2 linked regions of the Daphnia pulex genome follow. The protein of the gene in region 1 interacts with the protein of each later gene in a biochemical or structural test. Links are inferred from orthologs where the notes say so. Each region holds a gene or a part of one and is shown on either strand. Other genes may lie near its edges.

What was found.
Region 2: the proteins of protein SHQ1 homolog (region 1) and H/ACA ribonucleoprotein complex subunit 4-like are reported together in a solved structure, tested with the Homo sapiens proteins (2 studies listed by BioGRID, with this or other methods). The link is inferred for Daphnia pulex from reciprocal best matches to the Homo sapiens genes SHQ1 and DKC1.

What each region holds. Positions count from the first base shown.
Region 1 is NC_060022.1:3,499,328-3,505,508, reverse strand, and holds protein SHQ1 homolog, read right to left. Parts: upstream 3,070-6,181; 5' UTR 3,003-3,069; coding exon 2,133-3,002; intron 2,064-2,132; coding exon 1,779-2,063; intron 1,717-1,778; coding exon 1,462-1,716; 3' UTR 1,365-1,461; downstream 1-1,364. Other genes in the region: UHRF1-binding protein 1-like, read right to left, coding at 1-13, 78-269, 337-538, 613-656; dipeptidase 1-like, read right to left, coding at 3,513-3,611, 3,685-3,820, 3,879-4,039, 4,097-4,273, 4,348-4,417, 4,490-4,640, 4,712-4,844, 4,916-5,069 and 1 more. UniProt on the Homo sapiens protein: Required for the quantitative accumulation of H/ACA ribonucleoproteins (RNPs), including telomerase, probably through the stabilization of DKC1, from the time of its synthesis until its association with NOP10, NHP2, and NAF1 at the nascent H/ACA RNA.
Region 2 is NC_060025.1:6,907,966-6,914,963, forward strand, and holds H/ACA ribonucleoprotein complex subunit 4-like, read right to left. Parts: upstream 3,725-6,998; 5' UTR 3,649-3,724; coding exon 3,636-3,648; intron 3,440-3,635; coding exon 3,300-3,439; intron 3,030-3,299; coding exon 2,813-3,029; intron 2,757-2,812; coding exon 2,641-2,756; intron 2,447-2,640; coding exon 2,197-2,446; intron 2,137-2,196; coding exon 1,976-2,136; intron 1,912-1,975; coding exon 1,672-1,911; intron 1,606-1,671; coding exon 1,502-1,605; intron 1,442-1,501; coding exon 1,297-1,441; intron 1,238-1,296; coding exon 1,100-1,237; intron 1,034-1,099; coding exon of another isoform or gene 1,031-1,033; exon of another isoform or gene 928-1,030; coding exon 871-927; 3' UTR 802-870; downstream 1-801. Other genes in the region: chromatin complexes subunit BAP18-like, read left to right, coding at 94-142, 208-268, 332-433, 501-774; eukaryotic translation initiation factor 4E type 2-like, read left to right, coding at 4,184-4,212, 4,277-4,352, 4,480-4,532, 4,599-4,803, 4,869-5,021, 5,082-5,218, 5,307-5,349; probable sodium/potassium/calcium exchanger CG1090, read right to left, coding at 6,398-6,456, 6,529-6,669, 6,744-6,875, 6,936-6,998.

The sequences.
Region 1 (6,181 bases):
GAATACGGGAAAACTGCATTCGAAAAGTGTAATTATGTAATATGTAACCTAAATATGATACTGGGTCTATGACTCACTTGCAAGGAAGCTTCAAATGCTGGGCTTTTGAAATTTATAATCAATGAGTTGACACTCAATGTAACTCCATCAACAACTTTGTCTGAAAACCCATATTTCCAACCAGCTGCATAAGTTGGAGGTTTTAGGTTAGCGGAGGGCTGACGCAATTCAGAACAAGTTCCCATAGACACATGAACCTCATCTAGACTCTTAAATTTAAAATTGATTATGTAACAGGAGTATAATTTTAATGTGTTATTTATATAAAATAAATACCAAGCATATGGGGACACTTTTAAGTTTTGTCCAAGGTATTCTGATGGAAACACGATTGCACCATGCTCGGTCCAAGGTTAACCAGCTCGGCAGCTCCAACAAACTGGTCAACACTTTCTCATCCAATTCAAGATTAGTGAGCTCACCTTCTCCTTTTAGGGTACTAAGGTTTATTTTATCGGGCGACAAATTCTTGACGAACCTTTTTAAGACAAGATTAGGTAAATAATGTTTGGCCCACTGGCACCAACAACAATCTTTTAAAACGTATCTTACTTGGACAAATGCTTAATAATTTGGTTCTTTAGTAAAGACGTCATCCTTAGTTAATAAGAAATAATACTGGGGAAATTAATTAAGGTTTCACTACATTACTAATAACGAGAAAACGACGTAATGTTTTGAACTTCTACAGCTAAGCTCTTCTGATCCGTCAACTGAGACACTCTTGTCTCATCTGAAATGAAAGACTGAACAGACGACGTATTTTCCCTTTCGTGCCCCAGGCGGCCAAAAATCGATTTCTTTTAAATAAAAAAGACGCAAAAACTTTGCTTTTTACAATTGTTTAGTCGTTCTCGTTCAAACTTATGCAGGTTGTTTTATTTAATCTTGCTAAGTGTTATCTATAGCCAATTTAAATGTAAATAATCCAATGTCCGTGTTTAATATGTACGCGTCCTCATTTTCGTTTGTTATTAAGAAATAAGAACAGGAAAAACGAAAAAAAAAAACATTTACTATCAATTTCTACAGACACTAAAGAGTAAAGACTATAATTCTGATATGGGCTTTATAAAAAGGCGGCGCTGACATAAATGTGAAAGCATTTTACTGGCTAGTCTTAGTTCCGGCTTCCATTCCTCTACCAGGCCCGCAGCGATAACACTCTTAGAAGTTCTGTCTAGCTTTTAATAAAAATAAAGAAAAAAGAAATCTAAGGCTCAAGGAATAGCCTTTTAAACTCGGAGGATCGATGTTGTTCCTCTTCCTTGTGCCAACATTTTTATTCGAATGATAAAAAGGAGTATACCAAAAGTTTCAACTGTATTCCTCTTATGGTGAAGTTCCATTATCTGTGCATACACTTTTCATCAAGTCAAGAAATTGGAAGGGAATCTTTAATCAGTCACTTTCTTCGGATGAAGAATCATCATCAGAATCCAAATCAGATTCCGAGCTCATTCGAGCGGCTTCCGCTGCAACCTGAAGATCAATCGGCATTGCGCTCGAAGCGGATTTCTTTTTGAGTGACAGATGGGCCATTTGTTCTTCGAGGTCCGATTCTTCTGACGAGTCGTCACTATAGCACATCAGGTTAACTGCGGCCCGCTCAAGATCAACAAGGTTTAACGTAACATCTTCTTTGGTAAATTCCATCTAAAATTATGACAATTTAATTAGCAGGACAAATTTGGTATTCCATAAATTACAATCATTACCGATTTTAAACTTTGGCTTAGCGAGGCGAGTGTCTCGTCATTACACTTTTGTATCCAGATACAATAGTCTCGAATGTACAGTTGATTAAGAAGGTATCGAGGATCACTTTTGTTGAACAGCTGATGAATTTGTAAGAAACACCTCAAGACTGACGTCCGCCCTTCTTTAAGAATATTTGAGGCGTCTTCAATGGCTTTAATGGACAATTTGAAGTTTCGAAATAAGGGAAAACACAGACTTCTACGAAGAAAGCAATCTACAACTTGGCGAATCGAAGTGAAAATCTAAATTTTTATCAAATAGTCGATTAAGCGTAATTTCGAAAGAGAATAAACAAAGAAAAAGAAAAATACCTCAAGCCAAGATAAAGTTCCACTAATTTTTGCTATGGTCCATGCTGATTCGACGTTGGGGTCGGACATGGTGGTTCTCATATCGTAGCAATATGCCAGCAAAATATCAACCAAACCCAAATATGTGGACTGTAGTTGATCATGATCCAGGAGGTATTCTTTGTTGGTGAGGGTTTTTAAGAGGATAGTTTCTGCCTCTGTCCACTCCTCCCCAATCCTGCTTGAAGGTAGGTATTCAATTAGAGGATCGATCATGTCAGTCTGGAAAAAATCAGCCAAGTAGTGTTCTGCATTAAATTCTCTCTTCTCTTGTTCCAATCTTTCTATTCTTCTTTCTGAGGCTGACTGGTTGTCAGGATTTTTGACATCCACAACCTGATGCAGTTCCTCAGCCAATGTAGCAAAGAGTCCGGAATGTTTCAAGCCAAAACCATATTTCGAAACATTAGCTGGTAAATCTGATGATTCTTCTTCAATTTTTTGCTCCAAGAACCAATCAAAATCTGATTCCGAGTCCTCTTCTGAGCAGGTTTCTTCAAGCACTTCAATTCCCTTGCTGTCGACACTTCTTTTTCCTTTGGGTGCCAGAAGACTCGTAAGCATATCCAGTCCTTGGAAATGTGTTCCTTTTATTACTTTTGGACACGTGATTTTGAATTCATTTGTTTCAGCATCAAAATTAGCTTTAGCCTCGTCGTTTTCAATTATTTCTCCCGGCAAGTTAAGGCGAATGTAATAGGGATTTGAATGAAAGCGAAAATCAGTACCATCCATGTAAATTTCTGCGTCTGATACCTTGGAAAAGGGTGCGTGAATCGTGACAAATAGGCAATTTTCATCTTGGCTGAGCTTGAAACGTGGTGTAATCATTTTTCAATTTTCAAGAGAAGACGACTGAAGAAAAGAGCACATGTAAATAAGCGACTTTAACCTCATCTACCGAGAACCTATTGAACGAACACTAGGAAACCGCGAAAAGATTTTTGAAAAAAGAAATATCTCGACATTTACGCTAGAGACATTTAACCGTGAAATTTTAACTACATAAATGTTAATGCAGTAAAAAGAAATTATCAATGTATAAAGCGCTATTTATTTGGCAGTCTAGACATTTTTGCACAAACCTGATACTATCTTCTTTGAAATCAAATAATTCAGTCTAGCAATTCAATTCAAACTGACGTGATGACTGAGCGTGAAGCAAACGCAAGTTTCTCTTTTCGATTGACAATCATAATAGAATTTGGTACGGAATCAAGCGAGGGTAATTTTAAACGATTGCTATGGCGCGCGTGGAGGAGAATACAAATTTAAATTGCGCGGTTCAAATTCTTAGAACCTGCTGATGAATCAACCGTGAAGAAATCTAACGATGAGAAATTAACTGTACTCGGTGAGACATTGCTTGTGCTCAGGTCGGAGGTCTTCGGCCGGAATCCATTCTTCAATCGGCTCCATGGATGAGAGTTCCATTTTAACCTTATATCAGCATTTTGATAACAATTAATTTGAAAAGAAGGCGTGGCGTGATATAAATAACAAAGTACTGTACCTGCTCAACACGACGCATCACGCGCAGCATATTTCTACCAGCCAATTTTTCTAAATCTGTTTCGCTCCAACCGCGACGTAACAATTCCGCGAAGAGGTTGGGATACTTTGAAACATCATCCAAGTCAGTGGGAACCCTTCAAATATTAACCGCTTATTTTCCCTGCTCATTTGTATTGTTAATAAATAATTTACCTGTCAACTCCGTTAAAGTCACCACCGAGTCCGATGTAATCTGCCCCGATAACATTACGAATGTGTTCGATGTGGCGCACCACATCGTTGAGGCTTGCCGACTGACCGCAGGCGATAAATTCGTTGTAAAATACCACCATGATAATTCCGTCATTTTTCGCCTGTAGCACAGAAAGCTATATGAATTATGACTAAAGAAAATTGATGGTAGGACTAACCAATCGACGAAGGATATGATCGGGCACGTTTCGAGTATTGTTGCAAACAGAAAATGCCCCCGAGTGACTGAAAATCACGGGCGCCTTTGACACGTTCAATACGTCTTCCATTGTCGAGACCGACACATGAGAAATGTCCACCATCATGCCCAGACGATTCATCTCTTGGACTATTGCCTTAATAAATTTAAACGGACAAAAACTTGTCTAAAAATCAAGAATAACAGCAATTTAAAAAATAAGGAATATACTTCTCCAAAACCGGTAAGCCCGTCGTGAATAGGTTCCTGACCCGGGTTATCCAGCTGTGAATTGTCAGCCCTTAAAGAATAATTTAAAAAAAAAATTATAATTGATCAAATAAATGACAGTTAAAGAATTAGATGTGTATACCATGGAGTCGGACACGAATGGGTGAGAGTCATGTAACGAACTCCGAGTCGATAGAAAGTGCGCAAAACACCGAGGGAATTTCCAATGGAGTGACCACCTTCAACTCCGATCAGACTGGAAATTTTACCCGATTCAAAGATGTCCTCAATTTCTATATGTAAATGTAAAGTGATTGTTCACAAGTTGGTTGACCGCACCGGTGTCAAGTTATATGTTTAATACCTTGAGATGTGGTGGCTAGTTGAAAAGTGTCTGAATACAAGTCAATCAAGCGGTAGATGAGATCAATTTGTTCGATCGTCTTTTGCGGCGAGTCATTGTGCTGAGTATTGCAATTCGTATACGCCACCCAAAACTATGACAGAGAGATTAATTAAAAAATGATTCAATTCATGTATAATAGTCGAGAGAATCATTCAGTTTTACCTGAGCGCCCAGCTTCCCTTGTCGGAGACGGAGAATATCAGTATGCGACGAAGGATCAGATTTCCAAGGATTCTTATCTGCAAGATCTGTCAAATTGAAGCTAGCCAGTTGACTCTCGGCCAGGAGTCGAATAACGTGCGGTAAATCATTATGCCTATATTTGCAAAGAATTAAATTATAGGCTACATAGCGCTTCAAAGCGGAGAATTATTTCAAAGTGGACATACCCGTCAATGAGAGGAACGCGCTCGAGAATTTGACGAGCAATTGTCAGCTCGTCATTTTGATTTGAGGCCAATTTATGGAATTTAGTTTGAAAAACCTTTGATTCGTTCTCCGTAAGAGGTTCCGCCATTTGATTCAATGTAATTCCAACATTTTCGTCAATGGACCTGTGAATCAACTTCCAGGGAAATCCTGACACTCCGTCAAAACTAACCGCCAGCAACACAACGATCAACGCGCTCAACACTCTTTCCATCTTTATTTTTCAAATCAATTCTAAATTTTAAAAATAATTTTTCATTGGTGAACTTGTCGGCCAAGAGGCTGGATGAGCAATGACTCGGAGTGGGGGCATACAGTTCACTGAAAAGCGGGGACAACTAGAACAAATATCTGTGAGGCCAGGCTAAAAATAGTTTCAAGATCACGAAGAAGGGTCTGGAACTTATTACCTATACTAACATTGTAAAACTGCTTCGTTGGCGGAAACAAGTTCCCCTTCTCAGCGACCACATTTCTTGCACTTGACAACAAAGTTTCAAAATCTAACATAAACAAAGTCGGTTGCGCAACAACCGTTCAAATAAGACGGCTAAAAATACGATTGGTTTTCCTATCATCATGAAAATCATGTATAGATTGAAGGCCACGCTTGTTCATCGGGTATAATAACAAGAAATTGGGATTTTCCAGATGATTTATATACATGCGCATTTATTCCCTCAGGAGCTTTTATTATACTCATATTCGGCCCCGGCAAAAATAGTGCTTCCTGGAACTCGTTCCATGTTGTTTCTCAAGGGCAGCCAAGGATGATCGGGTCTCCTGACAACCGATTTGTATGTTAACATACGTTGCACTATACCTGGCGCATGGGCGGCAACTAAAAGCTCAGCGCTTTTTTGTGTTACTCAATTTATTCATTTTTGGCACGTTCGACTGCTGTCAAGTCACGACTGGTGGTACAACGTCCGTTAATCATTTTTTCCCAATCTTTCGCAATACTAATCATGTAGAATCCCTTGCACTCTCCAACAAGGA
Region 2 (6,998 bases), on another chromosome or scaffold:
CTAGAATCCCTACGGGAAATTATGTTTTTTTATACCAAATAATTGACTTTGTGGTGAATTTTCTGGGTTAGTTGTTTGTAAAAGTGCACAAGAATGAACTCTGCTAATAAGGTTGCCGATATATTTGGAGCTGCAGGATTAGGTAAAATACACATGGTGTATGTAGGTAATTGTTGAATGAGTGATTTCAGCCATTATTTTTCTTAGCTTTCAGTACGTTGGGGAAATTGACCATGCAGCTACATTCCTCAGAAAATGCCAATGCTGGGTAAATAATTTAAAGTAATTTACTTTTGTAACACTGTTGTATTTTTAATTTTTTCTTATACAGGTCAAAATGGAGTGAAGATGAAATTGAAATGTTGAGAAGTTCCATTAAGCGCTTTGGAGAAGATCTTGAAAAGATTTCTGAACATATTAAAGACAAGACAGTGTAAGTTGATTGCAAAAATCATATGTCAGTGTTCAAATTTCAAATTTTATTTGCTTCTATTTATTAGGACACAAATTCATGGTAGTTTGAAGAAAAAAACTTTTGAGGCAGCAGGTATTCCTTTGTCCAAAGTCATCAGCCAACCAGTTGTTCAACCAAGTCCACTCCAGAATATTAATTCAAGTCCTCAGCAAGCAGTTGTAGTTGTTCAACAACAGCCCCAAATGATTAATAACAAGTCAACAGCTGAAGTGACATTGAACATGTTAAATGCCTCTGAAAATGAAGTTGATGTTGAAGGGTTAAATTTTGAAGGAGCAAATGAAGTTGTCACATCTTGAAACTTTCTGATAAATTAATACACAGCATAAAAATGAAATGAATTGTATTTTCGAATTTTCTTGCAAACATAATATTACAAATTATTTCAATTATAATTAATCATCTTCCCGATCGACATCTTTCTTTTTCTTTTTTTTCTTGGCAGACTCCTCCTAAATAGAAATATGTTCACATTACTAATGCATACCAAATTACTCGGCGAATAATATTTGCAGTATGTTTTCATTTAGGTAATTTTCGTCAGAAATATTCCGTTCACTACTTTCATTAAATAATCACGACACCTTTGTTTAAAAAAAAAATTAATTGACAAGTTTAATTTACCTTGATTGTTGATGTGTCCACTGCAATTGAAAGGTCTTCATTTTCAGCTGTTTTATCTTTCTTCTTCTTTTTCTTCTCTTTGGTTTCAGGAACCGATTCTACGGTGGCATCAAGAATGCTTTCATTACCCTGCGGCTCCTGAAAATCATCCATAAATGATTAAGACATCATTATTTCACAAGAGTATAAACACTTACCCGGTCTTTGTCCTTTTTCTTCTTCTTCTTCTCCTTGGTTTCCGTCATGGATTCTGACAACGGATCAGCAACGGCGCTCGTTTCACTTAACTTTCTTTTTCGTGCCTCAGCATCTTCAGTTGGTTCAACCTTTTCTTTTTTAACGCTACAGAAAAATATAATATTATTGAAAAATTTGATACAAATACTGCGTTGAATTACATACTTTAGGTCTACATAAGATGTCAACCAATCTTTAGGTGTCTTGTCATTAGGTTTGCCAAACTTATCCAAGAGTCCCTGTTTCACCATACCCTTCTTGACGGAAGCCTAAAATTAAACAAATACATACATATACATACAAGTAACGCCAATGTAAACTATATCAATTTTTACTTTAGGTCCAAGTCCCCATTTCCTGGGATAAGTGTCACGCTCCATGACAACACGTTTAATTTTGGCAACAATACCATGGTCACATGAAGCCATGGTTGTTGTCGTCATCAAAGCAATGGCGAGAGCCACTGCTTCTCCTTTGGTTGTTACTATAACAATCTCTTCATTTAGTTCGATACCATTTTCGTACCGCAATACACCAGGCAACATGATTTTAGCTCCATAGCAAACGGCATTAACCTGTTATATATTTTTTTAACACATTATTATAAAGAATATTATAGATAAATATTAACACACTTACAGCACTGTCTTTCATGATTATTCGCTTGTGAGACATCATCAATGCCTCTAATGGACGAATAACCCGCCGCAGATATGTTTCGTCCTTATGATTATCATGTAACCACTGCGCATCGATTACATCGTGCATAGTCATTAACCCTTCTTTTTCACTTTGGATACCTTATAAAAAATAAAATCTTCATCTTAAGAACACACACAAAAAGAAACTTCCTGGCTTACCAGAACGAACTCTTCTGAGTTCCGCCATCTGAGCTCCTACGCCTAGCACCAAACCGAGATGGACACAGTGGGTACGAACGTAAGTTCCGGCTTCACAGCTAACCCAATAGATACCCATTTGTCTCTCGGCATCGTACTCGTAAAATTTACTCTCGTAAATGGTTCGCACACGAAGTTGTCGCTTAACAGCCGAGATCAGTGGTGGACGCTGAAACAAAGCTCCAGTCAACTTCTCAAGAGCTCGAGGAATCTTAATAAATAAAAAAAATATATACAAAATTAGTATTTATAAAGATCAAGTTTCTAACTTAAAAAATTAACAGAATTCAGTTAAATGCTTCATTATCTTTAATTATCTTCAGTCATTTCAGTCCACTACTTTCGATAAATTAATCATTAGCATCTTTAGCATAAGGCTTTCAACTAGAAGGGTCAAGAAACTACCTGATTGTTATCTTCAACTGCAGAATGAAGCTTAAATATGGCAACATACTCTTTGCCAGCTCCCTGCTGAGATTTGACCAGCCTTGTAGCACGATCAATGCAAACAATCAAACACCCTGTATAATATTCAATTAGTAAAGTCCATGGGATTTTCTGAGTGCTATCAACATACCTGTAACTTTAGGGTCCAATGTTCCTGAATGACCCGTCTTTTCACATCTTAGAATCCTCTTAATCCAGGCAACTACTTCGTGAGAGCTTGGGTTAGATGGCTTGTCAAGATTAATAAAACCGCCATGAATATAATCTTTAATTGGCCTCTTCAATGGTGAACAACCACTTGGAAGAGGTGTATAATGATTTGTCCTTGTGTTTAACTTGTCAAAATTCTGAAAAAAAAAGATGATTTAGAAAATGTTCACATTTCTTAATAAATAACAAGGGAAAAATTAATATCTATAAAGATCAAGTTTCAAACTAGAAAAATTTTAAGAATTTAGTTTTAAATGCTTCATTATCTTTGAGTGTCTTCAGTCTTTTCAGTCCACTACTTTCGATAAATTAATCATTAGCATTCTTAGCATAATGCTTGTATAGATAGATACTAAAATAAATTATTTTGAGAACATCTACATTTAATTTAATATTTAACAACATACCTTTAGTAACAGCGGCCATTGTGAACAGTCCAATTTTGCTACTGGTTTTTCTGATGGCTCCAACACAAAGTCTGAATCTCCTTGAATATCTCCCAAGGACTTTCTTGACTTCTTTCCACTTTGTTTCTCTCCTAGGACTTCTGAAACACAGGAATGCTAACATTAACCGACACGTGTTACCAACATTAATCCGTAGATCACAGAATTAACCAAATTAATGTAAATTTCGAATCATACTATTTGTGCAGCAAACTACAATGCATCTTTTCCATGTGAAAACACATAATCGATCCCTATAACTAGCTTGTAAAATTTATATTATGTGATGGCGCTTACCAGATGAATGCATCGTGCTTCACACGTGGTTCGAAGTCCTGTCTTTGATCTAATGTGTTGAAAAACCTCTGCTACAAAAAAAGAAACCAATGAGCGGAAGTGTTGAGCGTTGCCATTTGATTTTTGATTCTTATTTTTGGAAAAAAATTAATCACGAAGTCACTTTTTCTGCTATGACATGTATTTCCAATATTTTACTTGATTTTAAAATTCAATGGTTCAAATTATCTCTTTATTACCATTACATTAGAAGTTACAATAACTATAACATCTTTCTCCCGTGGGCCGTGGCGCTTTGGCTTTGGGAAGGGTACTCTAGTGTGTGGCGCCAAAACCTCTTGAAGGTCACCTGGTGGCAACTGGTGGCAATTTTTCGCTACTCTATAGTGTGGGTACTGTTTAGTGTTTTCACCATCTAAAATTTGTACAACATTTCTGGACATACTGCTTGTTTCTTTCTTTAGTCTTTCTACTACATGCTGCAAATTGGTGTATAAATTAAGTGAACAATTTGACTGTAACACTCCGATTTCGTAAACTATTTACAAATGGCCCTTAATAACAATAAATTTGATGCGTAAGTTTTCAAATTTTATACATGTTTTAATAGAATTTGCGTTTACTTTGTTGCTTTTCGACAGGTTGAACAACAGCGAAGACAGTGATGACGACGAAACTTCATTCAGTGAAGAAAGAAAGAAAAAGGATTTAATTTTGGTGAGATATTAACTGCATAATACACAAAAAATTATTGTAATATCTATTAACTCTATGTTAATGATGTGATAATTGCGATAGACGAATTTATGTGCTCACTTACCCATTTTTTCCTACTAATTTAAAGGTTAATTTTTTTCAGCAACCCATTCAAGTTCCTCGAGAAGAACATCCACTCCAGTACACATGAAAATGATATTACTTTTATTAGTACATGTTAATTATAGAAATACCATTTGTTTTTAGATACACATACTGTTTGTGGTTTAGTCGGAGAGCTCCTGGAAAACATGCAGCACCCCAAAGCTTTGATCAGAATCTAAGAATGGTTGGACGTTTTGCTTCTGTAGAACAGTTTTGGTCATACTATTGCCATCTGGTCAGGCCTTGTGAACTCTCTGGTCACAGTGACTTTCATTTATTTAAAGATGGAATCAAACCAATGTGGGAGGTTGTATTATTAAATAATAATAAGGGTGGTGAAGTGTTTATTAACCTACTTTTTTTTCCCAACAGGATGATGCCAATCGTTGTGGTGGTAAATGGATTGTGCGTCTTCGAAAAGGTTTAGCCTCACGTTGTTGGGAGAACTTAATATTAGCTATGTTAGGCGAACAATTTATGGTAGGCGACGAAATATGTGGAGCTGTCGTCTCAATTCGATTTGCTGTAAGAAAAATGTTTTTTGTGTTAAAAATCATATAATTTATATAAATATATATATTTTAGGAGGATATTATTTCGGTATGGAATCGAATTGCAAGTGATCAGGCTACTACCAACCGAATTCGAGATACACTTCGTCGAGTCTTAAACCTTCCACCGAACACAATACTTGAATACAAAAACCACACGGATTCTCTAAAGTACGGAATGGTGGTCTCGCCATTCAAATGAGAATTCATAATCTTTTTCTCTTTCTTTCCTCTACCTCTTCTCCCTTCAAATCTCCAGGGACAATTCCAGTTTTCGGAATACCGATGTCTTTGTCCGATAAAGACACAATATTTTACATCTCAAGCGGAATATAAATAAGTTGAAAGTTGACCTGGTCACGGTGTTCATTACCGATACTGTTATTTCTAGCTTTATAAAAGTTTGATTCAAATGTGTCTAACATTCTTCGTTGAATAATCTCTAAATACGAGTTTATTCAATACTTTTATGGAAGAACCAACTTAAGCGTCAAATGTTGTAATGATTACTTATTAGCTTTACACTGTAAAGCATGGGAGCTTGTGGTGAAACTATTTGTTGTTAATTGATTTTTCCTCAAAACCACACATTTGACAGACGGTTGATTTATTAGCTTGAGATGCTACTAACACGGAGTAGTACATTCAGCCTAGAATTAAGAAATGCGCTAGATTTTTCAGGTGAGAAACATGCGTAATGTATGTGGAATAGGGTGATGAACGGTTATATTAAATGAGAAAAGTGGAAATCAAAAATCAACATCCATTGTAGCTCACCGCTCGACGAACGTCAAAATTTTGCTGGTGATACTTCGATTCGGAATTGTAAGTAGTGATTTACGATAAACAAGGTTTCACGGTGAAATAGATTGCGAAATATAATACTGAAATTAACAAAAGAGGAAAATGGAAAGCAACCTTACTTATTTAACATCAACAAATTGGCACACGTCGAGACACCGAAATACGAATCAAATGTAAACAAACAAAAGGACGATGGCGGACCATCGCAAAATAATAAACAAAATTTTAAACCACACAATAAATGAACTATAATTTTATATTATTGTGAATGTAAACATCGTTGCAGTTGTATCTGTATAGATTAGTAGAATAAAAATTTTGAGCTCTACCAAGGACCATATATGTGCGGCCGAGAGCTGCGGAGCCCGTTCAAGCTCCGGGAAACAGCTTGTAAGCTAGATAGTGCGGATTGTATATCAGCTTCATTCCCTGTTGAATCCAGGTTACCATGAATTGATTCCCTATAAATACTGCATGACTGGAGTTGCCAAGAAGATGATATTTGTTGGTGTAAGATGGTCACCTAGAATAGATGCGCTTCATTTCTCAAAATTCGCTGTCACATTCCGGCGGGTTAAAGTAGCCAAAGATGTTCATCTCGTACACTAGAGTAAAATTTATGAATAGGTTAATACAAAATTCAGCGTTAGTTAGAATAAAACCTAATTTAAACGTACTAGAAGCGATGATCATGAAGAACAAATACCACCCCAGAAGAGCAACTCCGTATTTGCGATCCAGCTTCCAGCCATTCAGATGAGTGGCGCCCAACAAGAAAACAATGGTTGACAGCAATGATAGGGTTGAATATGTTAATCCTGCATTTTTAACAGAATAATACTTCATGGTTCCGTAAACGTGAGCAATGGTGAAAGTGTCGGTGGTACAGTACCTTTGCTGATGACTCGAACTACACTTCCCGGATCAACGACGGCCGTTTGAAGAAACCAAGGTAGCCCCAGACAAATGAGAATATCGAATACATTGCTGCCGATGGCGTTGGATGTAGCCATGTCACCGTAACCTAAAGAGAACGAATGATTACTATTTGTATCAAATTTTCCTTTTATTCAGTCATTTTCACCTTCTCTGGCAACAGCCAAACTGGTTAGAATGTCGGGAATACTGACACCAGCAGCCACAAACG